Linked DNA regions of Notamacropus eugenii. The main gene of each other region encodes a partner of the protein of the gene in region 2 in a complex. Links are inferred from orthologs where the notes say so. Each region holds a gene or a part of one and is shown on either strand. Other genes may lie near its edges.

Evidence for each region.
Region 1: TAF1B (region 2) and POLR1B share a complex: the UniProt entries of both Homo sapiens proteins name them as parts of the pol I pre-initiation complex. The link is inferred for Notamacropus eugenii from reciprocal best matches to the Homo sapiens genes TAF1B and POLR1B.
Region 3: TAF1B (region 2) and POLR1H share a complex: the UniProt entries of both Homo sapiens proteins name them as parts of the pol I pre-initiation complex. The link is inferred for Notamacropus eugenii from reciprocal best matches to the Homo sapiens genes TAF1B and POLR1H.
Region 4: TAF1B (region 2) and TAF1D share a complex: the UniProt entries of both Homo sapiens proteins name them as parts of the transcription factor SL1/TIF-IB complex. The link is inferred for Notamacropus eugenii from reciprocal best matches to the Homo sapiens genes TAF1B and TAF1D.

What each region holds. Positions count from the first base shown.
Region 1 is NC_092872.1:602,816,345-602,823,520, forward strand, and holds the start of POLR1B (DNA-directed RNA polymerase I subunit RPA2), read right to left. Parts: upstream 3,146-7,176; 5' UTR 2,374-3,145; coding exon 2,197-2,373; intron 1-2,196. UniProt on the Homo sapiens protein: Catalytic core component of RNA polymerase I (Pol I), a DNA-dependent RNA polymerase which synthesizes ribosomal RNA precursors using the four ribonucleoside triphosphates as substrates.
Region 2 is NC_092872.1:549,076,273-549,084,074, forward strand, and holds the start of TAF1B (TATA box-binding protein-associated factor RNA polymerase I subunit B), read right to left. Parts: upstream 3,057-7,802; 5' UTR 2,975-3,056; coding exon 2,957-2,974; intron 1,615-2,956; coding exon 1,516-1,614; intron 1-1,515. UniProt on the Homo sapiens protein: Component of RNA polymerase I core factor complex that acts as a GTF2B/TFIIB-like factor and plays a key role in multiple steps during transcription initiation such as pre-initiation complex (PIC) assembly and postpolymerase recruitment events in polymerase I (Pol I) transcription.
Region 3 is NC_092873.1:83,973,774-83,981,416, reverse strand, and holds the start of POLR1H (DNA-directed RNA polymerase I subunit RPA12), read right to left. Parts: upstream 3,007-7,643; 5' UTR 2,757-3,006; intron 2,622-2,756; 5' UTR 2,613-2,621; coding exon 2,492-2,612; intron 2,264-2,491; coding exon 2,163-2,263; intron 1,405-2,162; coding exon 1,295-1,404; intron 823-1,294; coding exon 798-822; 3' UTR 757-797; intron 1-756. Other genes in the region: putative uncharacterized protein ZNRD1-AS1, read left to right, coding at 5,512-5,744, 6,154-6,229, 6,888-7,643. UniProt on the Homo sapiens protein: Core component of RNA polymerase I (Pol I), a DNA-dependent RNA polymerase which synthesizes ribosomal RNA precursors using the four ribonucleoside triphosphates as substrates. Can mediate Pol I proofreading of the nascent RNA transcript.
Region 4 is NC_092876.1:164,940,287-164,948,045, reverse strand, and holds the start of TAF1D (TATA box-binding protein-associated factor RNA polymerase I subunit D), read right to left. Parts: upstream 3,106-7,759; 5' UTR 3,042-3,105; intron 2,739-3,041; 5' UTR 2,587-2,738; intron 2,345-2,586; 5' UTR 2,157-2,344; coding exon 2,057-2,156; intron 1-2,056. Other genes in the region: C5H11orf54 (ester hydrolase C11orf54 homolog), read left to right, coding at 3,246-3,421. UniProt on the Homo sapiens protein: Component of the transcription factor SL1/TIF-IB complex, which is involved in the assembly of the PIC (preinitiation complex) during RNA polymerase I-dependent transcription.

The DNA.
Region 1 (7,176 bases), about 54 Mb from region 2:
ATAATTAAGAACTTTATAAAAATTAAAGCTATTCAAGGAAGAATAGGGCAATCACTGGATTGCAATCACTCTATGTTCCCTCAATAGAAGGGTCTCATTAATGACTTCATAAATATGAAAAACATTATTTGTATCCCTGAGCCTACAGAAGTAAAAGATGGTTACAGGAGATCAGGTTTATACATGAAAAGGAGAATGAAGCCAGAATCTCCTTTAAGTGACTTTATGGGGCAGAGTGACAGAAAATCTTCCCTGAATACCTGAACTCCCTCTGCTTCACTCTTTCATATTTCAAGCCTTTTGTATTTTCATCCAGCTTCTTTTTTCTTCTTTCAAAGAAAGAACTGAAGTCACCCTGCTTTCTCAAGGCTAACCCATCCACCTGTGCATTTGATCCTGTCTTCTACTGGGCCTTTCATACCATCATCTTTTCTTGAAGATTTTGAATTTACTCTTCCTTTAATTCTTTCCTTACTTTATAAGCATGCCTCCATATCAAAAGATGCCTTCCCCTGACCCTACTAACACTGTTTTACTATTTCCTTCCCCATTTTCAATGCTAAACTTTTTGGATGAGTTAGTCTATACTTGCTGCTCCCCTTCACACACTTCTCAAAGCCTGGTCATGTGCCTTCTGCTCTACCCCTCTTCTTTGAGGTCACTGCTCTGTCTTGTACCTTGTGTGGTAAAATGGGAAAAATACAGGAGAGCTAGGTTCAAATTCTGTCTCTAATGCTTCTGAGCTGTGAGACCACAGGTCTCTCACTCAGTTCCTCTGAACCTAACTTTAAGAAATAAACAAAATCAGAATAATTAAACCTCTAAGTGCCCTTCTTACCATTTCACCATATGGCTCAAAGGAGAAACTGGGATATGATGTACTTGGGAAAACTTAAATATTGGCTTCTATTATGTATTTTTGTCTTATCCTCTTATCTAGTAAACTCCATGGGGCAAGACTATGTCTTCTTAAGCTTTGTACATACTCGTGGGAATATCTCATATCATGTCCCCCACTCACACTGCTGAAGGGTGTGAAGTGGAAAAAGTTTAAGAAGCTCTACCCTAGAACTTAGCAAGATGAATCAAACAAACACTTATTAGGTGCCACATTACATACACAGGATGTTGATATAAAGACAAAAATCAAAATAATCCTGGCCCTAAAGGAATTTACGTTCCATGGGAAGAAGGTAGACAATAAACACATAATAAATACTGCTGAATAAATGGGAGGGAACACTCTCAACCAGCAACTATTCCCTTGCTCAAAATACCGCTTAATAAATTGTCAAAGGTAACAAGCATGACAAACAATCCTTTGAGTGGCTCTCATTAATTTCCAGGCTTAGTCAATTCAGTAGTATTTATACAGAACTTACTATGAAACAGAGACTATGCTAAGTATTGCAGATAAGAAGAAAGCCAAAATTTGATCCCAGTCTTCAAGAAGCTCATAGGGTAATGGGGGAGAGAAAGTAAAAACAAGATAAATACTGGAGAAACAACATGCAGATAAACTGGGGATCATCTCAGAGGAAAAGTACTAAGATTAAGGAGGACTAGGAAAGGCTTGTAGCAGAAGGTGGGAGGATAGTTTAGAAGACAGGAGGGAAAGATGAGGGCGAAAATGAGAGAGAGGGAAGGGAAGAGAGAGAGAGAGGGAGAGAGGAGACGGGAGAGGGGAAGAGGGAAGAAGGAGGGAGAGGGGGAGAGGGACGGAGGGGGGGAGGGAGAGAGACAGAGAGAGAGAGTCAGTCTCTTGCGAAGAAGGAGAGAATAACATTTCAGATCCTGCTGGGAATGAGATCCTCCCATATACCCGGATCTCCCAATTCCTCCCGGTCTCCAGGGCTCAGCCCTCAGCCTCTGCCCCGCCCCCAAGGACAGAGCCAGTCACGCGGGAACAGAGCGGGGCAAGGGGCAAGAGCTCGGCCCACCCCCGATACCGCGAGACGGGGATGGGGGCAGAGGAGAGACGGGAAGGTCGGGCCACGAGACCAGAGTAGGAGATAGAAGCTGGAGGGGGGGACACCAGCGTAGGAGGAGGAAGGTGGGAAGCCTGAAGGGGAAGGGGCACACTTCGGGGCAGGTCGGAAAGAGGGCAGGACAGTGCGGGGAGGAAAGCCGGGGGGCGAGTTATGGGGCAGGAGTCAGGGGAAGTGAGCCCCTGGGAGGGACGGCTGGCCCGCTCACCTGGACCGCGTGGCTGAGCCCCTCTCGCATAGCATAGTTGAAGGACTCGATGTGCGCCCGCGTGAGTTCCTGCAAAGCCGGCAGCTGCTGTTCTTTCGGGATCCCGTAACCCGGCTCGGTCAAGTGTTTCAGGCTGGGCCCGCCGGGTAGGTCCCGCCACTTACAACCGGGATCCATGCCGGTTAACAGCGTGGGAGAAACGAGCCACAGCTGCTGGACATCCCAGAAGGCAGTTCGTCATTAACTCCCGCCCCTCCCTCCTGTGGCATTCTGGGAAATGTAGTAAATGTAGTAAATGAAGTAAAGCGTCACATCTGCGCCAGCAAAAAAACCCAAAAAAACCAGACCCGTAACCGGAAAACTACAAGTCCCAGCAGCCCACGTGAGAAGTACTTTCTGTTTTCCTTTTCCTTTTTTTTTTGGTGATTTTTTTCCAAGTCCGCCCGGCTCACTGGCGGGTTACAGAGTTGTCAAACCCTGGGCACCAGGGTGCCCACAAAATTCCTTGAGATCCGCCGGAACCAGAACAAAATGTAATTAGGAACTATTTAGCAAGATAAGTAGATTAGTTTAAATAAATATACAAACGTATGGTATTGTAAATCAGTATCTCAGAGATCGTTAGTTTGAGAGCAGTTCCCCTCCCCCCCATTTGTGAATCTTGACTGTACCACCGTCTCCTGGTGGCCCACGCGTGTGGACTGCGGGCCCTGCGCCGCCTCGGCCCCCGATGCGCACGTTCTCCCAGGCTTTGCCTGAACTGAGGCTAGAAGTGTCGTCCCAGGCAGCTCCACATTCTCTACAAAACTCAGTTTCTCACTTTGTAAAATGGGTCTACTATTGCTTGAAAAGCTCCTTAATGAAGGGTAGTGACGTCATTTTCATCTTTGTATCTAAAGCACCTTTCTTATACTGGGCACTAAATAAATGTTTGCTGAATCAGACTGAATTAAAACATACACATCTTACGTTTTAACAATTGTAATGTAGACACGCTTAGGCAAAACAGAAAAGAATTTACGGGCCAATTAAGAATGAGAACGGTCCAAATGAAATGGATCACCTCATGATGTAATGAACACACTGTCACTGCAAGTGTTTCAATAGGAACCAGATGGCCGTCTGGCAGATGTTTCCTGCATTGGGTGAGAGGTAGGACTTGATCTCTGATCTTCCTTCCAACTTTGCATAATTTTAATATATATAACATCATAGTTTCCATTAGAATTTTTCTCCCTCCTGCCTCTACTTCCATTAGGAATTCGGGAAAAATAGTTTCCCCCCCTCATATTTAATTGATTTGGATACAGATATCAGGGAACTGTGTATAATGTAGTCACGAAAATCCCATCTGATCCATATACATACATTCATGCTCTGGTATGTCAACTACACAAACTCTTGATATTCTGTATGTATGCCAATTACTGTTACAGATATTTCTTTTCATTGTGGTTTGTTTTCCAAAGGTTGATTCTGTGGATACAATGTTATTTCTACATTGATTGCGCAGTGTTTTTTTCTAGGTAGGCAACAAAGTTTGGAGAACTGCCAGGAAATGCATTGAACATAGACATGCATGCAGTCTTGCAAAGGCCCTGATTACAGTTTCAACAAAGTGGTCTAGTCACATATGAGGCTGGTTTCACTTCTCTTACATGGCTTGAATTCCACTGCCATTTATTGTTGCAGTCAACCTCTGGGGGCAGAAAATGAGTAAGGGTACAATAATAATTGAAATATAGTAAATATGCTTTGTTTTAAATATGGAATTTGTTTTCTAACACAAATGACTGGCCATATATTGACTGAAAATTGTGACAAAAGTCATCATTCAAACGCTTTTCAATAAAACTGATTTAGATATGCTGAATCAGAAAGACCTCTAGCTAATTGGGAGAGGAAGGAACAAGGGGCATATTAGACAAAAAAATACTTTGCAATTTGTTGAAAAATGTGTTACTTTAAAATTAACACCCAATGATACATAGAAGTACAGAGTAAGGAAGCCCTTTCACAAACATGTGTTGGATAGGGTATTAGTCAGATATATTTGGTTGTGGTCCTTTGTTCTTGAAGAGGACCAAAATGACATCACTATGCCAGAGTCTCTTAAGTTTCAGTGTGTCTGATTATGGCTGATCAGACCAATATGAGCTTGGAAAGCTCTACCACAGATCAGGCACAAATTGTTCATGTGAACATTTGGGGGAGATTCTCTAAATTTGTTCATTCTGTGTTTCTTTTGAGCCACTTCAATTCTGCTTTGTTCATAGAGCACAGTGCCTTCTCTGATGTGGGCATGCCATGCTGAGTGGTCCTGCGCCAGTCTCTTCCATGTCACACAATCAATTCTAAAGTTCTTGAGAGACACCTTAAGAGTGTCCTTGTATTACTTCTTCTGACCACCATGTGAATGTTTGCCCTGTGTGAGTTCTCCATAAAACAGTCTTTTCGGCAAATGTACATTTTGTATTGGAACAATGTGACCAGCCCTTTGGAGTTGTGCTCTTTCTAGCAGTGTGTGAATACTTGGCATTTTAGTTCACATAAGGACCTCAGGGTCTGGTACCTTATCCTGCCAGGTTATCTTCAGAATCTTCCTAAAACAATTCAAATGGATGCTATTCAGTTTCCTGGAATGGAGCTGGTAGACTGTCCATGTTTCACATACAACAAGGTCAGCACAATGGCTCTGTAGACCTTCAGCTTAATATTCAGTCTAATACCTCTTCTCTCCCACACTTTCCTTTGGAGTCTCCCAAACACTGGGCTAGCTCTGGCATTCAACCTCTTTATCAATGTATACATTCCAAGAAGTATACTACCAAGGTAAGTGAACTTACCCACAGCATTCAAAACTTTTCCATTTGTTGTAACTGATGGTTCCATGTATGAATGATGTGGTGGTGGCTGATGGAACACCTGTGTTTTCTTGGTGTTAATTATTAGGCCAAAATTAGCACAGGCAGTGGAGAATTGATCCATACTTTGTTGCATCTCAGCTTCAGAGGCTGCATTGAGTGCACAATCATCTGCAAACAGAAAATCATGCACCAACACTTCCTCCACTTTCATCTTGGCTTATAGCCTTTTCAGATTAAAGAATTTACCATCAGTGCAGTAGTACTGATAAATTTTATATTTTAATGATCAAATTTTACTTCATTACATATTTTAACTTCAATTCAAAATTGTCTACACCTTTTGTTAATTTGGACAAAATATTCTTCCCAGTAACAGGATGCTATCATTCATCAAACTATTATTATGGGTTGTAATTGTAAATGTGTTATTTATCTGTATTGTATTATACATCTGTAAATGTTTTATTCTGAGCTCAATACATATTCTTCCTTAAGATGCCTTTATAGGAAAAAGTATTTTTCAGATAGGCTTTCTCAGTCACTAGCACCCGTTTTCTTTCAAGTTGTGGTATAGGAATCAGTATGATTTATGCTTTGTGAGTTTTTGGAAGAGGACTAATGCCAGTGTGGCATACAGATTACATATGAGAAATTTTAGTTTTTAATGAATTAAATCTCTCTAGCTTTTGAAGTTAATTTTTAACATTAATGTATTGCTGGTTGCTAACTGATGGCATTAGAAGCAACATATTAGTCAGTTCTCTGCAAGGAGCTAATTTAAGTAATCTGATGTGTAAGAAATCAATTAGAAAGATAGTAAAGGAATTTAAAGCATTCTGACTTCTGTTCCAACAAGCAGTTCACCAATTCTGAATTCAAGTAATATTCCTCCTGTGAGGAATCCTAGCATCACAAACCACATACTTGTTCCTACATTCTCTTGAATGTATTGCACTCAGTGTTACCAAAAAGCATTAGAGACTTCTTTTCTCTTCTTTTAGCATCCGTGACAAAAGTTATTTACCCTGTTGCCAGATAATGAGCTACCTTGGTATTTTCTGGAGTGAACCTCTACAAAACGAATGGAAGGAAACTACTGCTTAAAGATCATTCTAATAAATGATCATCATCAGATATCTCTGAATATGTACACATGATCCTTCATCCCAAGGATAGTTCAGATCAATGGATCAGGCTACGATCTCTTTTCACAGAAAAAGAAACAGGCATAAAAAGTTGAGACCTCCCCTAGAATCACACAATAAGTTAGTATCAAAATATAAAGGAAAAACACAGACTCCCCCTTCTCCCCCAGTTCTTAAGGTTATGGCAAGTAGGGAACCCCTCAAATGATAGACGTAGCACTTTTTTACTCTTATGCCCATCTATTACTCAGTATTTCTTAAGCACCTACAATGTGTCAGATGTTCTAGTTTCAGGGAATACAAAGACAAAAATGAAACAATCCCTGCCCTCATGGAGCTATTTTCTATTAAAAAAAAATCTTTTTTCTCTTGGAAAAGTTAACATTGTATTGCTTTGAGTCATAGTTTTTTCTGGCTATATACATTCTATTCTACTGTCCCTAGAATAGAGTAGAGTTTACAGTAAAAGCCATAACAGTTCTTTCCTCTCAGTTGCCTCATAAAATATGGTTTTATTTTAGATTAATCATGTTATCTATGTTACCTCTGGAATCAGATGTGGAAAGGACCTTAAGGATTATCTAGTCCACTTCCTCCCCCTATTTTGTATATTATAAAACTGAGATCAAGAGAGATTAAGTGACCTGCCCAACATCACAAGGTAGTCATTGGTGGAGGAGTAGAGACTCAATATCAGATCTTCTGACTCCAAATCTAGCATTCTCCCTTCTGCCCCATTCCACTTTAGTCTCTAAGGTCTCTCCCAGCTCTAAACTTCTTTGTTCCAAAAATAAAAAGGATAAAAACATTTTACTCCAGTGATCATATTGGGCCTTCAGAACCCTACAGTCCTTTAGGTCTTAACAGTATTTTTCACTTTCCTTGCCTGAGTTGATTAATTCCTATAAAACAAGAGGCTTATTGGTTATTGTAAACTCTGAATCTTCTGTCTAGTTCATACTACCCTG
Region 2 (7,802 bases):
GAGTAGCAAAGCCAGGATCCAAATCCAGATTCTGATTCCAAATTCAGCAAACGTTCCCCTGTGCCATGCTGCTATTCAAACAATCTTCTACAGATTTTTTTTACTTTTAAAATAGTTACACTTTCAACAAATACAAACAAAACATGGAATAAATTTCTAGATAAAATCATCAAATCCAAACATTATGATTGAAAAACAACAACATAAAAAATTTTAATAACAAAAATCAACTCATTCTTTGTCCTTTTTATTCACCTGTATATTTATAAAAAGTTAAGTGGTTTTTTTTATTCTGCTTTAGTCAACATATTGGTTGCTTTTCTTATTTTTTGACCATGTCTTTCATTACTTCATATATCTTTCCATATTTCTTTGCTGTTCTTTCTACATGCCAGTTAGTCTCCCATACCTAAAATGCAAAACCTCCCCACCTCCCGACCTCTTAGAAGGCCTCGTTTCCTTCAAGTTCAAGCTCAAGTTCTTCCTATACAGGACTTTTCCTTATTCCTGATTTACATCCCCACCCAAAAAAGTCAAATTATTCTGTATGGATTTACTTATATATGTACATGTTGTTTCTTCCTAATAGAATAGAAGCTACTTGAAAACATGGACTGTCTAATTTCTATCCCAGAACCTAAGACAGTACTAACACATATTAAGCACTTAAGAAATGCTTGTTGAAGAAGGCAATAAGGAGAGAAGGGGAGTTCATACAGACATTTGGTCACATGGTTAAGACATCAATTTCTTAATGGTACATTTGTTGGGATCTGCTTATATTCCAATATTCTTATAGGTAATATGCAGTATTTGGGGAGTCTTTTTCGCTACTATAGCAAATTCAGCTATATACGTAGGGAACAATTTAGAATAACATTTAAAACCTTTAACAGTATTAATAACTAGAGTTAAATCATCCTAAAAGTCCAAAATGAGTCCCAGAGTTCAATTCCAAGAATACTAAAATAAACATTTATTAAGTACCTGCTATGTACAAAAGCAGTGTGGCACCATGGATACAGGACCATCTTTCAAGTCATGAAGGCCTAGGTTCAAGTCTATACTTTGACAACCCATGGTCATGGAATTTCTCACTGCCTCAGGCAACTTCCTATACATATATATTACAGAAGATTTGTTGATCTGTGTCAGTGCAGGAAACTTCCACAACAAGTATTTCCCTACATCAATAAATTCACAGCTTCCAGACCAAAACAATATCAAACCACAGATCAAGTTAGGAGATTTAAAATCTCTTCCTTGAAGGAAGCTAAGATAATTTCTTCCCTGAAGGAGTCTAATGTTTAGTAGTTAAACAGAACCACTTCAAACTTCTGGCAGAATCAATATAATAATTAAAGACATCATCCTATGTCTAAAATTTTTGCGAAGATATATTTTCAAATGACATGACTGAAGAAAATATTTGGATTGTTCATCTATAAAACTTTGCAAATTATATTTCAGCATTTTCTATTCATTACAGAAATTTTTAAATGTAAGCAAACTTACCTCTGTAACATTGAGGCAAGTTGTACAATAATATGTTCCTTCATCAGTAACTCCCCAGGAAACAGCAGCACACTGCGTACAGGGTTCATTAAAGTCTCCCTGTAAAGGAAGAAAAATATGCATTCAATATATTTAACTCAAATATAAATCTAGACAGTGCATTTTCCATTACTGTATACTTCATTTAGCTACTCGGAGAGGTGTAGCTAAGTAGGAGGACAGGAACTAGAGGCCCTGACAAAGAAAGGGGGACTGAGAGGGTAGCAGATTGGAGAAGATGATCTTCGTGGTCCTGTCCTAAGAGATGCCACCAAAAATTCAGCATGAGGTGTGAACCAAAGAGGTTCGTTTTAGAGATATCAGGAAAAACTTCCTAAAAACTAGAGGTATACCAAAAAAGTGAGATGAGTTGCACCTTGATAATTTGTGTTTCCCCCACTTGGGAGCTGAATTCTGCAGGCAGAGGTTGGACCACTTGTTTGGTATATCCCTGCCCATATTCCTTTTATGTATGGATTGAACTGCATAGCTGCTAGGGTCCCTTCTATTCCCAAATTCTGTGATTTTGTGAAATTATCAGGTATGGGACAGATGGTCTGAAAAGTGAGGTCTTCTCTTTCAGGTGACTCACAGGACCCTGATAATGGAGTTACTGAAGAAAACCAGAATGCAAACTTTGACATAAAATGGGATATAAACCTCTTACACCGCAATAAGCTCAAAATGGATACATGACCCGATTAAAGGTTACACTACTAAAAAAGAGAATAATAAGGTGTGGCTGGGGAAAGAATTCTCAACTAAAGAACAGAGGTGATCCAAAAAAAAGAAAAAACATAATTCCAATGACACAAAGTTGGAAAGCTTTGACAATAACGAAATGAATCAATCAATAAACATTTATTAAGAGCCTACTGTGTGGAACTGCCACGTAGGATACAAAAAGAGACCACACACACACACACGCCCCTCATCTCCACGCTCCTCTCAATTCCAACCTGACTTAGTTATCTAAGTACGGCCATTTTCCTCCAGCAGAACCTAAGTTATTTAAGGGAAGGCTCCGTCCCACCCGGTGTTTGATCTCCCCTCCCCCATCCCGCTTCCTCCAGAGGCCAGCACATACTTGGGAACTCCTCAGGGGCTTAAACAAGCGTCTGTGGAATTCACGTGTGCGCACACTCCTAACGCTACATAACAACGGACGGTACCTCTTTAAACGAACACACACGTGCACTCCCGCGCACACACCCCGTCACATCACCTAACGGTCGGTACCTCTTCAAACACGCGCACACCCCCCCCCCCCACACACACACGCACACACACACGTACGCTCCCGTGTACACACACCCTCACACCCACACCCATTCACACTCCAGGCCCTCACTGCTCCCGGGGGCCTTGACCAAGCCCTCCCGGCCGGGCCCCGAGTCCTCACCGCCTCCTCAAACTCCATAGCGGAGCCCAGGTCTTCCGTTACTCAGAGAATGCACGTTCGCGCCGCGGAGGTTCCCGGAAGTCCTCAGGGGCACTCTTCCGGGGCGGAAACCACCGGCAGGCACTTTCGGTTCCGGGGCAGCTGCGTTCCTCCACGTCCCTCCCGGCGCAGCCGGATGAGGAGCGCTCGGGAATGGGGCAGCCCCGGCTCGGGAGCCGCCGCTCGCGTTTCCGCCGAGCTTCGGTTTCCAAGTCAGCCGGCTGGCCGCAGCCCAGGCAGGTCGGGATGCCGGCGCCTTCCTCCTGCGGCCACCCCCGGTAGCTGGCTCTTTTCCTGCTGTCTCTCCCGTTAAACCGTAAGTCCGAGGGCGGAGACTGTCTTTTCCCTTTCTTTTTTTTTGGTGTCCTTAGCGCTTAGCAGAGTGAAAGAGCATGGGTGCTTTATAAATGCTAATTGACCGATGGACTCTAATCAGAAGAACTTGAATGGGCATTCCACCCCATTCTGCAGGTACTTCTTGAGAGCGTGCCGTGTGCCGATCATTGTGCCAGGTGGTGGAGATACAGAGACAAACCCACACCCCTTTGTCACCGGGAGCTCACCAGGCGTTGGGTGAAACGTCTAGACAGAGGCCTGGCTCTGCAGTAAAGGAGACCAGACTTGTGGTCTGCCTCAGCCCTTTCGGAAGCTCGGTAACCAGGGCAAGTCGAGTCAAACCAAGTCAGCCAGCCTGCATCAAACTGTGCCCACGCCCTGGAGATTCAAAGAAAGGCAAAAAACGGTGCCTGCTCTCAGGGAGCTCACGGGCTTACCAAAAAGATCATAGTGGGAAAATATATACAGGATAAATGGGAGATGATCCCAAAGGGAAGGCACTACTAGACTTGGGGGGATCTGGAAAGATCTCCTGCAGTGAGACTTTAGCTGAGACTTCTGAGGGTCTTCCCCTCCCAGTTTTTGATCGATTGATTGATTAATTGATTGATTAAAGGGGCCTTGGCTGACTTCTTAAATAGGCCCAATCACTGTTTCGTCAAAGTGAGAACTCTCTCTCACTACATCCTGAGCCATGGCCAGTTGTCCTGATCTGTATCTGGTCACTGAACCCAGATGACTCTGGAGAAGAAAGTGAGGCTGGTAACTTTGCACAACCTTCCCCCACTCAAATCCGGTTCAGTTGCAAGTCATGGCATTATCTTCCTCATGTCATGGTCCTCTTCCTGAATGAAGGACAATCCACAACCACAGCTGAGACTTAAAGGAATCCAGAGAAGCCAAGGGGGTGAATGTGAGGAGGGGGAAGGTTCTAGACATGGAGGACAGCTAATCAAAATGTGAAGACATGAGGTATAGGGCACACTCCATCCAGGAACAGCAAAGAGACAGTGTCATTGAAACATGGAGCATGTAGAGGGGTGTAAGGTATAAGAAGACTAGGTAAGTAGAAGAGACAGATTATGAAGGGGCTTTAAAAAGCCAAACAGAGGATTTTATATTTGATCCTGGAGGTAATAAGGAGTCTGTTGAATGGAGGGGAATAGGAGGGAGGTTGGTGACTTGATCAGACTTATGCTTTAGGAAGATCACTTTGGTAGCTGACTGGAGGCTGGACTATATGTAGTGAGGTGAAATTTGCAGCAGGAGAACCTTCACCAGGGTGGTGGCAGTGTCACAGGAAAAAACAGAGTTACAACATGGTAGCCCAAAATACTGATATCTTAGGCTATATTGAAAGGTTTAGGATCCGGGACTGAGAAGATGACAATTTCTCATGTCTTCTGTCCTAATCAGACCACATCCAGAGTACCTGTTAAAATTCTGGTAAATGCATTTTAAACTGGAAGGCAATTGATTTGAAATGGTTCACAAGACCATGAGAAAGTTAGATACTGTGTCACGGGAGGATAAAAGATCCTTTAAAGGAATTGAGAAAGTTTAATATGAAGAGAATATTGGGGACATGTTCATTTCCTTCCAGTGTTTGAAGGGCAATTGTGGGGGGTGACAGGGAAGGATTGCAATTAGACATGTTCTCCTTGGCCTCAGTGCCAGCACTGGGACTAGATTTCAGGATGATGTAGGAGAAGGGAGGAAAGCAGTATGGGCAATGATAAGAAACAAGGCGCACAAGAGGTAACAAAGTTTCAGAAAACAAAGCATGTTAATGTAGGTACTTTAAAATGACTTGAGGGGGAGGAGCCAAGATGGTGGAGTAGAAAGACACACATATGCTAGCTCCGAACCCACAGCCCATAAAATATCTGTAAAGAAGAACTCCCAACAAATTCTGGAGCAGCAGAAGCCACAGAACAATGGCGTGGACAAGATTTCTGTTCCAGAGAGCCCTGAAAACCTGACGCAAAAGGTCCATTCATGCCCCAGACCAGAGCAGAGCTCAGCCCTGCCTCAGCCTCGTGGTGCCCAGAGGAGCAGATCTGAGCAGGCTTCAGGGACAGAATCTCCAGCGCCAAGCAAGTCCCTCCACCCACAGGTGACAAGGGTCGGTGAGAAAGTCTTTTTGGGTGGCGGACGGGAGTGGGGTGTCCCCGTGGCTCGGGCCCCCCTTGGGAGGCAGCAGCGGAGGTGGCGGGCGGACAGGGGCTTCCCAAGCAGGCAGGAACTCGGATCCATTGTTGAAGGTCTCCCCATAAACCCCCTGAGGGAACTGAGCCTGTGAGGTGGCCCTGCCCCAACCTGAGCAGCTGAACTTAATCTCACATTGAATAACAGCCCTGCCCCCACCCAAAGCCCTGAGGCTGGGAAGCAGCATTTGAATCTCATACCCCAAGCACTGGCTGGGTGGATCTGGAGGCAAAGTGGGTGTGGAGAGGACACTCAGAAGTCAAGTCACTGGCTGGGAAAATCCCCAGAAAAGGGAAAAAAAATAAGACTATAGAAGGTTACTTTCTTGGTGAACAGATAATTCCTCCCTTCCTTTCTGATGAGGAAGAACAATGCTTACCATCAGGGAAAGACACAGAAGTCAAGGCTTCTGTATCCCACACATCCAAAATAAATATACCATGGGTGCAGGCCATGGAAGAACTCAAAAAGGTTTTTGAAAATCAAGTAAAAGAGGTGGAGGAAAAACTGGGAAGAGAAATGAGAGAGATGAAAGAAAAGTATGAGAAGCAGGTCAGCACCTTGCTAAAGGAGACCCAAAAAAATGCTGAAGAAAATAACACCTTGAAAAATAGGCTAACTCAATTGGCAAAAGAGGTTCAAAAAGCCAATGAGGAGAAGAATGCTTTCAAAAGCAGAATTAACCAAATGGAAAAGGAGGTTCAAAAGCTCGCTGAAGAAAATAGTTCTTTCAAAATTGGAATGGAACAGATGGAGGCTAATGACTTTGTGAGAAAGCAAGAAATCACAAAACAAAACCAAAAGAATGAAAAAATGGAAGATAATGTGAAATATCTCATTGGAAAAACAACTGACCTGGAAAATAGATCCAGGAGAGACAGTTTAAAAATTATGGGCCTACCTGAAAGCCATGATCAAAAAAAGAGCCTAGACATCATCTTTCATGAAATTATCAAGGAAAACTGCCCTGATATTCTAGAACCAGAGGGCAAAATAAGTATTTAAGGAATCCACAGACCACCGCCTGAAAGAGATCCAAAAAGAGAAACTCCTAGGAACATTGTGGCCAAATTCCAGAGTTCCCTGGTCAAGGAGAAAATATTGCAAGCAGCTAGAAAGAAACAATTCAAGTATTGTGGAAATACAATCAGGATAACACAAGATCTAGCAGCTTCTACATTAAGGGATCGAAGGGCGTGGAATAGGATGTTCCAGAAGTCAAAAGAACTAGGACTAAAACCAAGAACCACCTACCCAGCAAAACTGAGTATAATACTTCAGGGGAAAAGATGGTCTTTCAACGAAATTGGGGACTTTCAAGCATTCTTGATGAAAAGACCAGAGATGAAAAGAAAATTTGACCTTCAAGCACAAGAATGAAGAGAAATATGAAAAGGTAAACAGCAAAGAGAAGTCATAAGGGACTTTACTAAAGCTGAACTGTTTACATTCCTACATGGAAAGAAAATATTTGTAACTCTTGAAACTTTTCAGTATCTGGGAAGTTGGTGGGATTACACACACACACACACACACACACACACACACACACACAGAGACAGAGAACACAGAGTGAGTTGAATAGGATGGGATCATATCTTAAAAAAATGAAATTAAGCAGTGAGAGAGAAATATATCGGGAGGAGAAATGGAGAAATGGAATGGGGCAAATTATCTCTCATGAAAGAAGCAAGCAAAAGACTTTAGTGGAGGGAAAAAGAAAGGAGGTGAGAGAAAAACATGAAGTTTACTCTCATCACATTCGACTAAAGGAAGGAATAAAATGCACACTCATTTTGGTATGAAAACCTATCTTACAATACAGGAAAGTGGGGGAGAAGGGGATCAGCAGGGTGGGGGGGATGATGGAAGGGAGGGTAATGGGAGGAGGGAGCAATTAGAAGTCAACACTCTTGGGGAGGGACAGGATCAAAAGAGAGAATAGAAGAAATGGGGGGCAGGATAGGATGGAGGGAAATATAGTTAGTCTTACACAACATGACTATTATGGAAGTCATTTGCAAAACTACACAGATATGGCCTATAATGAATTGCTTGCCTTCCCAAAGAGAATGGGTGGGGAGGAAGGGATGAAGAGAAGTTGGAACTCACAGTTTTAGGATCAACTGTCGAGTACTGTTTGCACTACTAGGAAATAAGAAATACAGGTAAAAGGGTATAGAAAGTTATCTGGCCCTACAGGACAAAAGAGAAGATGGGGACAAGGGGAGGGAGGGATGATAGAAGAGAGGGCAGATTGGTG
Region 3 (7,643 bases), on a different chromosome or scaffold from region 2:
TGAAACACATTACAAATAAGGAATTACGTGGGAGAAGTATAAAATATGACATCAAAGAGTATGATCAGACTGAAGTGAACTCATCACCACATAGACAGGCAACCAGTGAACTAACCAGCCTTTGTGCTCTACTAGGATCCACACAATGGAAGAGGATGCAAGAAAGGGCCCAATGAGAGCATTAATGAAAGTAAATAAAAAAACACAGGCTGGACAGGGATGAGTTGCAATCTGTACCACTGGAGGGAATACCCAAATTGATAAGAATGAATTACCCTTTGAAGATATTTATGTTGCAAGTGCATTACAACTCATTTGACCCTTCACAGTAACTGTAAGATAATATATGTATTTTATATTTATGTTATCCCCATTTCACTGATGAGGAAACTAAGAATTAGAAAGGTTAAGTAATTTATTCATGGTCAGTCACACAACTAACGAGTGTCAGAGGCAGGATACAAACTCAGGCCACTCCTGACTCTAGATCCATTTCTCTTTCTCCCACAATAGCAGACAGTAATAATACTAAGTAGTATTATTGCCTTGGGGACTCCATCATCCTGCACTGTCTTGTTCTCCTCCACTCTCTTCCTAGGATCTTAACCACAAAAATTTGAAAACATACTACAGCTTTACAAAAAGTACATAGCTTTAATCACTTATAAGAAGATGAAAAACAAGGGAGCATGGTACCACAGGAGCAGACAGGTCTAGGGTGTCAGATAAGGATTCAGCATTTAACCAGGGGCCTACCTTTCAAATAGGACGAGTTGAGTCCAATTGGTAGGTAGTGATCAAGAGTCTTCTTTCTCTTGGAACCTAAAGAGAATAGATTGTCAGAGTAGACAGATTGTCAGATTAGACAGAAAGTACTTCCTAGAAATGAACTGGACAATCAATCAAGAGAAGTCACATATCTTTCCCATCTGACGTGTTTTCTCAGAAAAGACTCTTCAACTAATCTGGGCTATGTGGAAACAGTGGGAGGAAAAGGATGAGCTTGACCACTGTTGAATGTATATATTAATAATCATAGTGTTCTCATTTAAGTGTCATGAGAACCCTGTGAAGTAGGTATTAAGATGATTTTAAAGCTGAGCAAACTTATGACTTATCCATGGTGACAAAGCTGGTAAGTATCAGAATCAAAATTTCAATTGAGGTCTTTATGAATCTGAGGCTGAGAACACAATCCACTTGGACCCACTGTGGATCCAGATGTAGGATTCATGTCCTAACACCTCGGGGAGAGGAGGTTGGAGGAGAAGGAAAGAAGGAAATCCTTGCTCACCGGCAATTAGTACAGGTATAGAAGACAGTCTGTCCTTCATCAGCTGAGCGCATCTGCCGGGTATGATATGCCATTCCTTCATGACCACAGTTGGAACAGCGCCTGTCAATCTGAGAAATCAGTAAATTAGGAGGGACTCATAGCTCCCTGCTCAAAAACTTTCAGTGGTTCCTTAGTACCTATAGAATTTAATATCAACTTGTGCGCCAGGTATTTTACGGTTTTCCCACCACAATCTATGTCTAACTTAGCTTATTATTTATAGTATTCCCCTGCTTGTGCTCTACAGCCAGACAAAAGGGATTAATTAACTAGCTGTTTCCTGATCCTAACTGTAGCCTATTGACCATTTCTAAAATGTGTTCACCTGTTGAAATTCTTCTCTTCCTTTAAGGCCCAATGTAATACAGCAGAAAGATGCTGAATTTGGATCTGAGATCAAATCCCAAACTGCCCAACCCAAGAGCTGTTTGTTTCTAGGCAAGTCACCATCTGTCTGGGCCACAATTTCATTTTCATTGAATGAAATCAGACTGGATAATCTATAAGGCTCCTTCTATCTCTGGTAGCCTAAGATTTACAACTCCTTTATGAAACCTTCCCTTATCTTTCAGCTAAAACTGATCTTCACCTTCTCAGATTATCTTGTATTTTGCATGAATTAGATTTAGCCTTTACCAATCCACTTTGCCTCAAAATATTACACACTGCAGGCCCCTATTATATCTAATGATATGATGCAGTACACAGAAAAGATAATAATTATTTGTTGAATCTGCTGGCTTGATCCATACATATGTTAAGACTTCGAGATCTAACGTCTCATGGAGCCATGTAACTGAAGCGGAATGACTCTCACTCAACTCACCACTGGTCCCTGGAACTCGGGCCCCTCTTCCTCTGGCACCATCAGGGGTGTTCCCAACTTGTGGAACACGACCGAGGTGGCCACCACCTTCCCCTCGAACTCTGGAAGAGAAGGAGGAGGGCTGCTCGTTGCTCAGGCACAAGGTGAGATCCTGCACCGTTTCCCCCGGCCTCTCTCCGTCCCTACGGGTCCCACCCCCTGGTTAATGGCACCTTCAGGGCTGGCCTCTGGACACCAGACTGTCTCTCAAGCTCAGGGCCTTCCCCCACAACCTCCCTGCACCGAGAATCCATGCTCGTCAAAGCCTCTTATTCCAGAGGGGCTCTTACCCCGCACGTCTATGGAGAAATCACACCTGGGGCAAGTTACTGTGTCCAAAGTTCCTGGAAGAGGCAGAATTGAGCCGCATTCGGGGCAGAAATCCGAGTCCGAATGGAAGCTGGAGTCCATGGAGATGACCTGGGAGGAAGAGACTAAGCGGGGGCCATTCTTTTCTCCTCGCAGGACCTGGGGTCCGGCGAATCCCCTGCCTCCCTCCGCCCGTGACTGCTCTCAGTGCCCGACCCGCATCCTGCCCCAACGGTAGCTTCTCACCAGGATTCCGGCTCCAGGAGCAAGCCCGCGCCTCGGATCGGGACGTCAGCTCGCGCTGGCAGACGCGCCGGCCTGCGCTGGGCTGGGCCACGCGGGGCTGGGCCACGCGGGGCTGGGCCACGCGGGGCTGGGCCACGCGGGGCTGGGCTAGGGGAGCGCCGGGCTCTGGAGAGGCTGTAGCGTCACAGTGAGAACACGTGACCGCCTCCAGCATCCTGGAGCGCCGCGAGATTTCCGCGTCCCCGCAGCCCCGCCCACGGCGGACGTACGGGCGCGGCCTCTGTACCTAGGGTTATCTTCTAGACTCGAGCAGACGCTTCTCTCCTCTTGTCCTCCGGGTCTAGTCTCTGTCCCGAGGTCTGTTCCGCAGTGTGACTTTAAGGAACAACCTCCCCCAGGCCTTTGTCCCACTGCTGCTGCTGTTTGCACTACACAGTAAGGGGACCCGGAGGCTTCCCTATGGGTGCTGGAGCCGGACTCGCTGTGCGTTGTAGTTTTTTTTTTTTTTGCCTCTTCTCCCTTCCTAGGCCATGGCGGGGTTGGGGGGGGGGGGAGCCTTTGAATGATGGGAATTTAATCTCAGATGAATCAATCTGGCAAGAGTAGTCGGAGATCAGAACTCAGACATGAGCATAATTTCATCTCTTCCTCTCGACCCCAGACCTTCATTTTTATAGAGAAAATACAAGAAGCCAGGGAGTAAGGAGGATTTCCATGAGAAGATATGGTGTTCCCATTCATGAGATATTTGGCAAGGATAGATGATTTAGGTGTACACGGGCAGCGGCGTCACTCTTGGAGGTCTTTGTAGTTAAGGAAGCAATGAGTTTTAACAATATCTGTGAGATTCCAACTGGGTCATGTGCAACAGTGGAATCCATTTTAGTTATCAAATTAGCTGATCCATCAGTAAGCGTTTCTAAAATAGGTTTGCTTTTGTAAGTGGAATTTTTGTTTTTAGTCGTTTTTTCAGTAGTGTCAAACTCTTCATGGAATTTCACAGATATTGTTACAACTCCACAAGAACCTCCAAGAGTGATGCTGCCCATGTAAGCGTAATAATACTTAATGCTTATATAGGAGCAGCTATAATACATAGGTATGTATCTATATGTATCTATAGGTACAATAGATAGAGCTCAAGGTTTGGAAACAGGAAGATTCATCTTCCCGAATGAAAATCCAGCCTCTCGGTTTACCAACTGTGTTATCACAAGCAGGTCACTTAACCCTGTTTGCTTTCCCTGTAAAATGAGCTGTATCTTTGCCAAGAAAACCCCAAATGAGATCACAAAGAGTCCAACAAGACAAACATGATTAAACAACAATGCTTATATAAAAAAAAGTATGCATTAAATAAACTTATAAAACATGCCAGGCCTATGCTAAACACTGAGAATACAAAGAACATGCAAAAAAATGATCTGTAACTTCAAGGAGCTTACATTCTAATGGAGACATGTATGTTAAGTAAGCACATGTAGAATAGAGAGAGGGTAGCCTTTGGAGGAAAGGTACTAGCTGTTGTGAAGGGACCAAGAACTGCAGAAGGGGGTACTTGAACTAAGTCTTGAAACCAGGGATTCCAAGAGGTATGGAAGTGAGGAGTTCATGGAGGGCAGTCAGTACAAAGGTGAGCAGATGGGAGAGAACTTAAATGTGTGAGGATTGTCAAATAGACTGGATTGTACAGTGTGTGAGGAGAGTAATGTGTAAGAAAACTGGTGTTGGGGCAGACCTAATTCATGTTGGAATGAAATGAAGCACTCATAGATCATTAGAATATCAGTTAACAAAATGTTTGCACAGCCATATCATAGAAAGGATATTCAACAAGGATACTCCAGCATTTTAGTTTGCATAGACCAGGAAATTTGTCTGGTCACCAGGGCAGAATGTGGTGATTCTACAGTCACAGGTTTTAGGACACCCACCAAATCTGAAGGACCTTGATATCCATATAGGTGGCTCACAGGTAAACCATGCCATTATGACCAGAGGCTACTTCAAGGAAAGCACAGTTTGAATACTCTCAGCCCCCATCAACTTCTTAGAACAACTTTGCTTCCTTTCAAGGAAAAACTAGCCTAACCCATGTAGTAGGGAAGGGGAGAGCTCTAATAGTAGTGATTTTATTGCAACTGGAAAGCTAGGAGGAGTCCAGGTTATGAAGGACTTTAAATGCCACATTGAGCTTATGTTTGATGCTATAGATAATGGGAAAATATTGAGTGTTTACTGAGTGGGGTAAGGGGCAGGATGGATGACTTTGTCAAAGTTACACTTTAGGAAAGTCACTTTATGTCAAGAATGGATTAGAGTGGGAGAGACTTGAGGCATAGAGACCAATTAAAAGGTTGTATATTTCAGAACAGGTAAGAAGTGATCTGAGGACCCAAACTGGGGTTGTGACTGTGTTAGAGAAAATATCTAGTGGGATATCAATTTTGCAATATCTAAATCATTTAAATATTAAGCATGCAATCTCATGTAACCTCAGACTAGGTCAGTGATGACATAGAAGAATGTTTGTGACCTTCCCTTGTGTTGACATCAACCTGCACTATAAATAAACCCATGTCAACAGCAACTTCTCATCCTAAAGGATGTCAGAAGATTATTCAGAGTATTAGGGACTAGAGTGTTGGAGAGTAACTCTCTTGAATGATGATTTGAGAGCAAGGGTAGGAAAGGGAAAGGTTGGTAACTAAAGCTTAGGGAGCAGACTGGGACAAAGAAGAACCAGAGTACAAAGATGTTGTATCTGCAGATTGAGGCCCAGAGGGCAAGAGCCAAGAGGCTACAGAAGGAGAAAGAGCTGAAATGTCCAGAGATAAGAAATGTGCCAGAAAAGAAAAGAAGTTCTAAGAGTGCTGGATCTAGTGTAGAAATATGGGATAATGGAATACCAGAAGAGAAGCCAGGCTCTCCTGTGTCCAGCTCTACACTCCCAGACTCAGAATGGGTAAAGCTAAGTCCTCAAGAGAAGTAAGCACAATTTTGGGTTATTGTTCCATTTTTGAACAAATCAGGGGGCAAAATTTTCCTTATTCTTCTCAGAAAGGGCAACTTCTTTACATTGGGAAAAACTACCCTTTTTCTCTCTTTTGTGTGTATGTATATGTGTATACATATCTACATATATATAAATATAAAATATACATATATAAATAATCTATGTATTTAATATATGTGTGTATATGTGTATGTATCTATCCACATCTAATGTAGTATTAGTGGGAAGGGAGAAAAAAGTCCTTGCTTGAGAAATACCCTTATTTACAGTTATATAAGCATTAGATTTCTTGGTCCAACTTTGTGATAGAATTTACTCATTATCTTAGTTATTTAAAACAGTTTCCAAAGTTTTAATACTTATGTCTTTTTCATTGTTTAGATTATCCTGGGCAAAAAGTACCGAAGACCCTCGCATTGCCATAGGTCATCACTCTCCACTAGAAAAAAAAATTGTGGTAAGTTAATTAGCATAGCACTGTGCAATAGAGAGTTATGGTATCTTCATTTAGCAAGTTTCCGTGCTAGCAAAATTTCCCAGTTCAGGTTGGAAAACAAAATATTAATATTTACATAATGCTTTAAGATTTGCAAAGCACTTTACAAATATGATCTCATTTGATTCTCATGGACCACAGCCCTCTGGGAGGTGGTGATACTATTATCCTCATTCTACAGAATAATTCTGAAGACAAGCTAAAGTGACTTGTCCAGATCACACAGTTATTGCTAGTTAAGTGTCTGAGACTGAATTTGAACTCAAGTCAAACTTTTGGGTTGAAAACTCTCAAAAATAATCATCATGGTATATATATTTCTTACTTTGTTAGCAATGAGGCCTCAATATATATATACATATATATGTATGTATGTATGTATGTATATACACTTAGCAGTGAAAGTGAATCAAGCCTAATTGCTATTTTTACCAAAGGTAGAGAAAGCCAGTCAGTGTCTTGTCTCTGAGGGAGCCTTCACTGTCTTCCCTTGTGTACAATAGTGTAGAAAAATGTAAAAAAAAAAAAAATCCCTTCATTTTGACAGTTTAGTTGGTCTACATACTTGTGTACAATAATGTAGAAAAATGGAAAAAAAAAAATCCCTTCATTTTGACAGAGTTTAGGTGGTGTGCATACTCCAGCAGCAAGAAATCTGTTAGCTCAAAGACATAAAGAGGAACATGAGACCCTCTCTAAAGAAAAGGCTATGTCTTTTGACCACCGACTTGCTAAGGCAGAGAATTACTACTATACGAGAATCATGGAAATGATGGAAGAACAGAATGAATTTAAAAAGCCCAGAATGGAGCCAGTGACAACACCAAAAAGCCAGAGAAGCTTAGAGTCTGAAGAATGGGACTACGTAGTATCAGAAAGAGAGTTAAAGCAAATAGAGTGTCACATACACAGAGCAGAACAGGCCAGATGTATGGATACAAAATGGGAATCATTCCCCCAAATCCCAAGCAAAACACATTTTCCCCAAATCCTTTCACCTGAAAGTAAAAAGGATGTCATCAGGATGACCCCATCGATGAGAAAGCAGATAAGAGAGTGGGACCGGAAGCAGCAGACAAAAGAACATCTAGAACGCATGATTCGAGGTAGAGAACTTAATGAAGAAAGAAACAAGGAAAGACTTTCTGTAAGAATCCCAAGTCATCCTCCTCCATTTCTAAAGCGTATAAAGAAGAAGAGCCATAAAAGATTTGGATGGAGCACTGCTTATCCACTTCTCCAACCTCACGATGAAAGTCCAATCAAACTGGATGTCCTTGTGGCAGAATCATCAGAAAAAAAAGATGTGAGAAAAATTAAAAAACGAGTTCATAGGACATTTTTGAGTATTCCTTCACTTTTGAGGAGTCACTTA
Region 4 (7,759 bases), on a different chromosome or scaffold from region 2:
ACCTATAAGCTTTGGTACTCAAAACTCTTCAGTACCCTCTGATTGGAAAAGAAGAGAGCAAAGAACTCATCCCTAAGCCTCCATTTAAAAAGGGCTCGTGCACCAGTCAACTCTTTTCCCACCAGATGCACTTCTTGGACTAGACTCTACCATGCTCCCAGTGCAGGATACCTTGCCCATACCTCCTTTTTCAGCTTTTGTGTATTGTCTTCCTGTTAGGGAATGCCTTATTTGTTTCCCTACTGCTTAGTACAGGTCCTGGCACATAGTAGGTACTTAATATTAAGTAGCTGACTTGCCCAATTTAGATATTGGATGTGAGAAGTTTAAACTGATTTACTTTTTTTTTGGATCCTATTTACAATTCACTTATTTTGTCCTGTTAACTGCCTTAATCAGGGTTCTTTGTCCATGAGCATAGTCCAGAATTCAACTGGCCTGTAAAAGGTTTAAGTTTAGAAACCCAGTTCTCTTTAGCTAAGCTCAGGATGTGGTTTGCCATAAGGGTCTTTACACCACACCAAGCAATCCTTTCAAGAATATCTAGTTTGTTATCCAAAGTCACTAGTTCTTGAAGCTGAATACTTTTTAGTCACAGGAGGAAAGGAGGTGGTCACTGCTAGCGCCCCTCATTACCAAACTTCCAACCAATCTTGTACCCCATACCTCAGTTATGTAACCATCAACTATTGGGTTCTCAACACCATACATATTACCTGCTCTGTACTGTTTTTCTGTTCTATGCTTACAAAAATGAGCTGCATCTTCAATTTGGGGTCTTTGGCTAGAAACTGAAGCAGCCATTGACCTCAGGTTCATGCCCAGTTAATAAAATTGTTATCTTGGTCCGAGATATTTGCTTCTATTTACATTTTTCGTTAAATTTCACTAGCAATAGTGGTCATTATCTACCAGATCCTAGGTTATTTTCCCTCCTTTCTCAAGTTTTTACAGGCTCAAGACTTCTCAACCCAATTTATACCTCAAAAATGTCACTGGGAAACATTTAACAATAAAAACACAGTACAACTTAGTATCACATTTTTAAATTAAGCTAATATGGGGCCAGCAGGGATCCTGATGTACAGATTAGTAGACTTTTGACAGGTCTTTACCGGTAACTTGATGCTATAAGAGCTGATCAACCTCTGGTTCTCTAATGCATCACTAAATTACCTTCTGCCTCTTTGGTGGGTGGGGCCATTACCCCAAAGCTTCCAATTAAGGATCTTCCAGTTCTGGCCTTATTTCTCACCTGTCTGCACTTTCAAGTCCCAGGAAGTTCATTATTGGAAAAAACCTCTTCATCTTGCAAAAGATCTCAACAGCCATGGTTACTCCACCTTATCACCACCCTCTGTCCCTGACTGGAAAGAGAAGCCATGGACTACAAAACCTCCATTTAAGCAGGGAGATTACAGAACACCCAATTTCTAACCTCTCTGTACCATCTGGGATGTCTGATGTACCCACTCGGTGAGCATGGAACTGTCACCCCATCCCTTTACTACGGTGCCTGGCACATAGCAGGCATGGACTAGTACCGATCACTGCGGTAGGGGACTTCAAATACATGCCTTAATTCCTTCAAACACCAGAAACTATTACTTCAACAGCCTCAATTCCTATGACCTATTCCATGCAGCTAAGAGGGGGCAGTGGATAGTGCTGAGTCTTTTCCTGCATCGGTACTGTTTATGGGTCCCCTTCCTCCAACACACGGCACAGTGGGGAGAGAATAGGAAAACACAATTACAAAGAAACCCTTATCTGATCCTCACAACCTTGCTAAAAGGTAGATGTTATTATCACCATTACTTTACAGTTGAGGAAACTGAGGCAGGCAATAGGCTAAAAGTGACTTGCCCAGGATGATAGAACCAGTAAGTCCCGCAGGACTTTAACTTGGGTCCTCCTGAGACCCAGGATTCGATCTGGTGGTCAACGTATTTGTCTAGAACGGGTAGTTTTTCTTGTCATTATTCAGAAATGTTATACAAATATTATGTATAATTATTTCTTTTACTAAAGTCCTAGGTGAATAGCCAACACTCACCTTTTTCCCCCAGGAGGATTTCTTTTTCTCTCCCCCTCCAGTGACAGGAGTTAATTGGCTGTACTTGGGAGCAGTTTTTGGCTAGTTTCCTAATTTTCATCCAGTCATAAGAATTCCCTGAGCTTCCTTTGTACTTTAGCTAATTTGGAGACCATTTTACTCCATCTCCAACCTTTTTACGATCCAATGGGGAGGAGGGGAGGCACACAGCGAGGCGGTCTCATGGCAAAGCAGGCCTGGGCAAGTCACTTTTCACCCTGTTTGCCACTATTTCCTCGGTTTCCTCATCTGTAAAAGGAGCCGGAAAAAATGTCCCCCCCCCCAGGCTCTCTGCCAAGAACACGAGCTGCGGCACGGAGGGGGGTCCCTGCAGGCTGGGCCCGGCCCTCCCTCCTCCCCACCTCCCTGCGAGCTCACGCGTCTCCCCAACCGCCCCGCCCAGGCTCCTCCCGCCCGCGCGGCCTCGGACGCGTCTCTCCGTGGTCCCGATTACATCAGAAATGCCACTCACCATCTCCCCGCGCGCTCACCCGTTACGTTACCAGAACCTCGGGTTCCCAAAGCCCTTCTCGTGAGGGCTCGTGCGGCGCGGAGGAACCCGCTGAATCTCACCCACGTGGCGCCTCCCCTCTTGGGGCCTGCTTCCTGTTCTATGAATGGGGTTCCGGAGAAGCTCCCGTTTCTTTAATCACGCCGATTAAGATCGAAATATCGGTGTGGCCCGAGGGAAGAAAAAGTATTACCGACTCCCACTAAGTGGGGCATTCCCACCGGGCCCACGACCCAGCCGGCGCTCCTGGGCCTCCGACATTCGCGGAGGATTCGTCCCAGCTAGCCCCCCACCGGGGCGAGGCCCAGTGGAGGCCGCACGGCGAAACCCGAACAGGGCCTCCTGGCTCCTCTTAAGGGCCAAGTCACCAGAGGCCTAGTGAGAAGTCTGCCCCGGGCAGGGAGGAAGACGGGAGAGAGAAAGAGGGCCACTCACCATGCGCTCCCTTCCACACTCGCAGAGATGAAGGCAGACCTACAGGTGCGCGAGGAATAAAAAGGACGCTGGGAGCTCGCCGCCTGACTAAGAAGGGTGACGAAATCTCGCGAGATCAGGTGGCTGCCGGCTGAGAAAGCGGGAGCGGGATTGGCGCGAGGAGGAAGGCGGAAGCGGAGAGCGTGGGGAGGAGCCGGAGTGGGAATGAGGTCGTGCCCCTCCCTCGAGCGCCATCTTGCGTGGCGGGGGCGGAGCCTAGAGTTCGGGAGCGGGTGGGGACATGGAGAGAAGGCGGAGCCAGGTGCGCTCAGTCCTCCGTCCAGGTTGCCATCGCGGCGGTCCGGACGAGCGGCTGACGCGGAGGGGGCGGCCGAGGCTCCGTAAGTGGGTCGGCCTGGAGTGTGGTGGGGCGGCCGAGGAGGAGGGAGCGCGGGGACCTCGGGGGAGCCCCGCCAACCTCCCTCGCCGCGGCCTTTGGCGGCCCAGCGCGATGTGAACCGGCTGAGCTGACGAGGGAGACCCGAGTTCGAGCTCTGCCCGGGGCCCCCCGCGGGGGGTGTGGCCCCAGCCAGGTCCCGAGGCCTCTTTTAGCCTGTCAGCCAGTGAAATCTTAAGTGTTTATTGTGTGGTCGCTGCGCTGCTAAGCGCCCGGAGTTCCAGGAAGGGAAGGGAACAAGCGTTTATTAAGCGCCTGCTGTGTGCCTGACGCTGTGCTAAGCGCTACCTTGCCAGGCCGCGCTTTCACCGTCCCCATTTTACAGATGCGGAAACTGAGGCACACAGAGAAGTGATTTGCCCAGGGTCGCCTAGCTGGCTAGGGCTGCATTTGAACTCGGGTCTTCGTGACTTGAGGCTCAATCTACCAAAGTGCATTCCTGCCTGAGACAGAAGGGCACCACTGAAGAGGTTGAGGGGTGAAGGGGGACCCCAAGATACCGACGGTCCAGGTGGAGCTTGAATGAATTTCACTCAAGCCTTCTCAAAGCCAAAGAAAACAAAGTTTATTAAGGATTCGCCTAATTGAGTTGCCTCTTAAGCAGCCCAAGCATGTGTAAGGCTTGTATTCACAAGCAGGCTAGATGGAATCCCAGCTAGACAGAGTCTGAGCGCCTTCATGGGGGCGAGATGGAACTTAAATACAGAAAAGACTGTAGGAGGGATCTGGGGGGGTGGTCTGGGGTCCAGGGTGATGGGAGGAGGGGTTTAGGGAGGGTCTTGAGGAGAAGTCCTAGGAGGGAATCCAAGGAGGGTCACAGGCTGGAAACAGCTGGAGGCTATCAGGAGATAGCAGACATTGGAGGGTTTGGGTGGGAAGCAGGTGGGGCAATCGAGAGATAACAGGTAATGGTCCCAGATTTGAGTATGAAAAGCCAGGTTCTGTGGGGAGATACCCGAGGAGCTCAATTTGTGTATAAAAGGTCAGGTTAAGTGAGGAGATTCCAAGGGAGCTCAAGGAAGTTCCCAGAGTCTGAACCTCATCACCACATGCCCAGCACAAGGCCCTAGGAGGGCTTCCCAAGGGGTGGGGAGCCCCTCCTCTGGCAGGTAGTGACAGGGCCTGGGCCAGGGTCAGGGGACACAAGGGTGGAAGTTTCCCCAACCATGATGTGGGGGTGATGATGCTTGGCATTTATGTAACCACTTAGCAGCACCTAATAATATTGCCTTTCTTACTGGGTCTAAGAATCCAGGGAGAGAAGGAGGAGGACTTAACAAGCTACCGTGTCATCTAGGTGCTAGCGATGGTCTTCCTTCAGGAAGATATGCCTCCTACTCTCAAGCTATGAACTTCTGCTGGGGAGGCTGGAGCTGTGTTCTGATTTGCCCCATGTCATATCTGTCTTGAACTAGCAGCTGACGCAGGGATTCTCAACCACTAGCTCTTTATGTTTTGTCTCTGGTCATCCCAGATTTTCAGAGGGCCATTCTGCCTTTTGGTTCCCCACTTATCTGTGCTGGTGTAAAATCCTGGGCAAGTGTCATGCCTTGGTTGTTGAATGCTTGGACTAGTAAAGCAACAGCCAAAGGGCCATTTAAATGTACCTTTGTACAAACTACCTGTATTGTGTGCCAGCCCCTAGGGAAGGTGGAGATTAAAGAGTGTTGTCTTTTCTTTTTTTGTGTGGGGATGGGGGGAAGGAATGGAGGCTTTTTGTTTTCTGGATCAAACATCATTTCAAAGGTATAGGAAACTCCCTGTGAAGAAAGGCCTCCTATTTCTATACAGAAGGCACCACCTACTCTGCAGTTTAGAGTCTTGGAAAAGTGCCTGGGGCACTGAGAAGGAATTTGCCCAGGGTCAGGTAAACAAACAAGAAATACAGAAAAGCTTTTGGTTGTGTTGGGGGTTGCTCTTCAACCTCAAACAGCTAATCAATGTAATACAAGTAATAAGTTATATATTTTTAAAATGTTGCATTATTGTACAGTGATATACCTACTTTTAAGCAATGAAACTGAACACCTACTCTTCAGTAAGCTGTTTTTTTTCTATTGAGAAGACAGAAGAACTGTTACTGTTCTAACCTGTCCATCCCCAAGGTAGCCCCATCAATAAGACCCCATTCTCCCTGACTCATGTTATCTACCAAGTGCCACCCTCCGAACAACTTATTCAGCATCTGATGCTTGTTCTTGTGAGGAAAACTTACAGTTCCTGAAGCCAAGAAGTCAACCTCTTTGAATTGCAAAAAATTAAAACTGGCACTGAAGAGGCGGGCCCTCAGGGAAGAGATTTCACCAAGTCAAAGATGGTATAGTAGGATTTTTAAGTTTAAGTTAGATTACAAGAGATGATTTTTAATAGAATAGTATAGAAGGAAGTGCAAAATACAGCCTATATATGTACACACACGCACATACATATTGTGGAACGAGAGTCATGGGTTGGGAGGTGGATTATCAAGGAAGGCTTTGAAAGAAGTGTTGAATTTGGATTGTATTTCACTTTGGGATCACTTGAGAAAGGCAGCACTGAAGACCCCCAATAGGAAGTCAAGGGTGGCAGCTAGTGGTCTGGTGGATAGTACTTTGGACCTGGAATCAGAGAAGGAGATCTTAGTTCAGATTTGGCCTCAGATACTTATTGGCTGTGAGACCTCAAACAAGTCAGTTTACTTCGGTCAGCCTCAGTTTTCTCAACAGTAAATGGCAATAATTAATAGCACCTACCTTCCCAGGATTGTTGTGAGGATCAAATGAAATAATAGTTGTTTTAAAAAAAAGGCACTTAGCACCTTTCCTAGCACATAGTAGGTGCTATATAAATGCTTAATCCTTCCTTCTCTTTCTCAGTAGTTATTTACAATTTTGTCCACATTTTCTGAGATAATCTACAAGCATTTACAAGGTTCTGGAGATACAAAGACAAAAATAAAACAATTTTTTCTCTCCAGTATATATTCTGTTGGTAGACATGGGATAGGCACAGACTTGAAGTCAGGATGTGGATTCAAATTGTAATCATTTAACCTCTCTGTACTTCAGTTTCCTCATCTGTGAAATAGACAAACATGTTGGACTCTGATCTCCTTAATAAGGTCCCTTTGGGCACTTAATTTATGATCCCGTGATCTTCTAAAAAGTATCAGGACTGGACCTGTGCTTTCATTAGTGTGGGGAATTCACTGATAATGAAGCTTTCTCTGCTGATGCAGTTTAACCCGTTCTCTGAAAATTATGTACTGTAGTTTTCAGAGAATTCACTAGGGCAACAAGGTTAACTGATTTGCCAGGAGGTCACACAGACGGTATGGTTCAGAGTTCTGATTTCCTGATTTGGAAGGCAATTCTCTGTCCATTACAGCATACTGCCTCTCACCCTATCACTATATACAAAATAAATAAAAGGTTTTTGGAGGAAGGAGGCAACTAGGGAAAGTTCTGTCATGTAACAGATAGTGCTTGATCTGAGCATTGGTGGAAACCAGAGTTTCTAAAGAATCGAAGTGAAGAGGGAATGCATACCAGCTAAGGGATGTGCAAGGCACAGATATGATTGAACAGATGGAATGCCCCTTGTGAGAAGCAAGGCGGCCAGTTTCCCTGGAGTGAAGAATGTAAAAGGGAATATTGTATAATAAAGCTAGGAAGTATAAGGAGGAGCCCAGGTGCATAGGGTGGCAAAGAAAGGAATTCCTATTTGATCCTAGGACTAATGAGCAGCCACTGAGATGATTGAGCAGGGGTATAATACGGTGAGATTTGTGTTTTAGGAAAATCCTTTTGGCAGCTCTGTGCTGTATGGACTGGAGTGAGGAGAGATGAGACAAAGAGACTCACTGAGAAGCCACTTCAGTAGTTTAGGCAGAAGTGACTGTGTGAGTAGAGAGGGCAAGTCACTTCACCCTGTGTGCCTCAGTTTTTTAATCTGTAAAGTGGGCTGGAGAAGGTTTGGCAGACCACTCCAGTATCCAAAGAAAACCCCAAATGGAGTTGAAGAGGTTGAGGGGTGAAGGGGACCCCAAAATACCGACAGCCCAGGTCATGCTCGAATGAATTCCACTCAAGCCTTCTTAAAGCCAAAGAAAACAAAGTTTATTAAGGGTTCGCCTAATTGGGTTGCCTCTTAAGGAGCCTAAGTATTTGTGATGCTTGTATGCACAAGCGGGCCAGATAGAATCCCAGCTAGACAAGAGTCTGAGCTGGATTGAATCTGAGTACCTTCATGGAGGCAAGATGGAACTTAAATACAGAAAAGAGTATAGGAGGGATGGGGG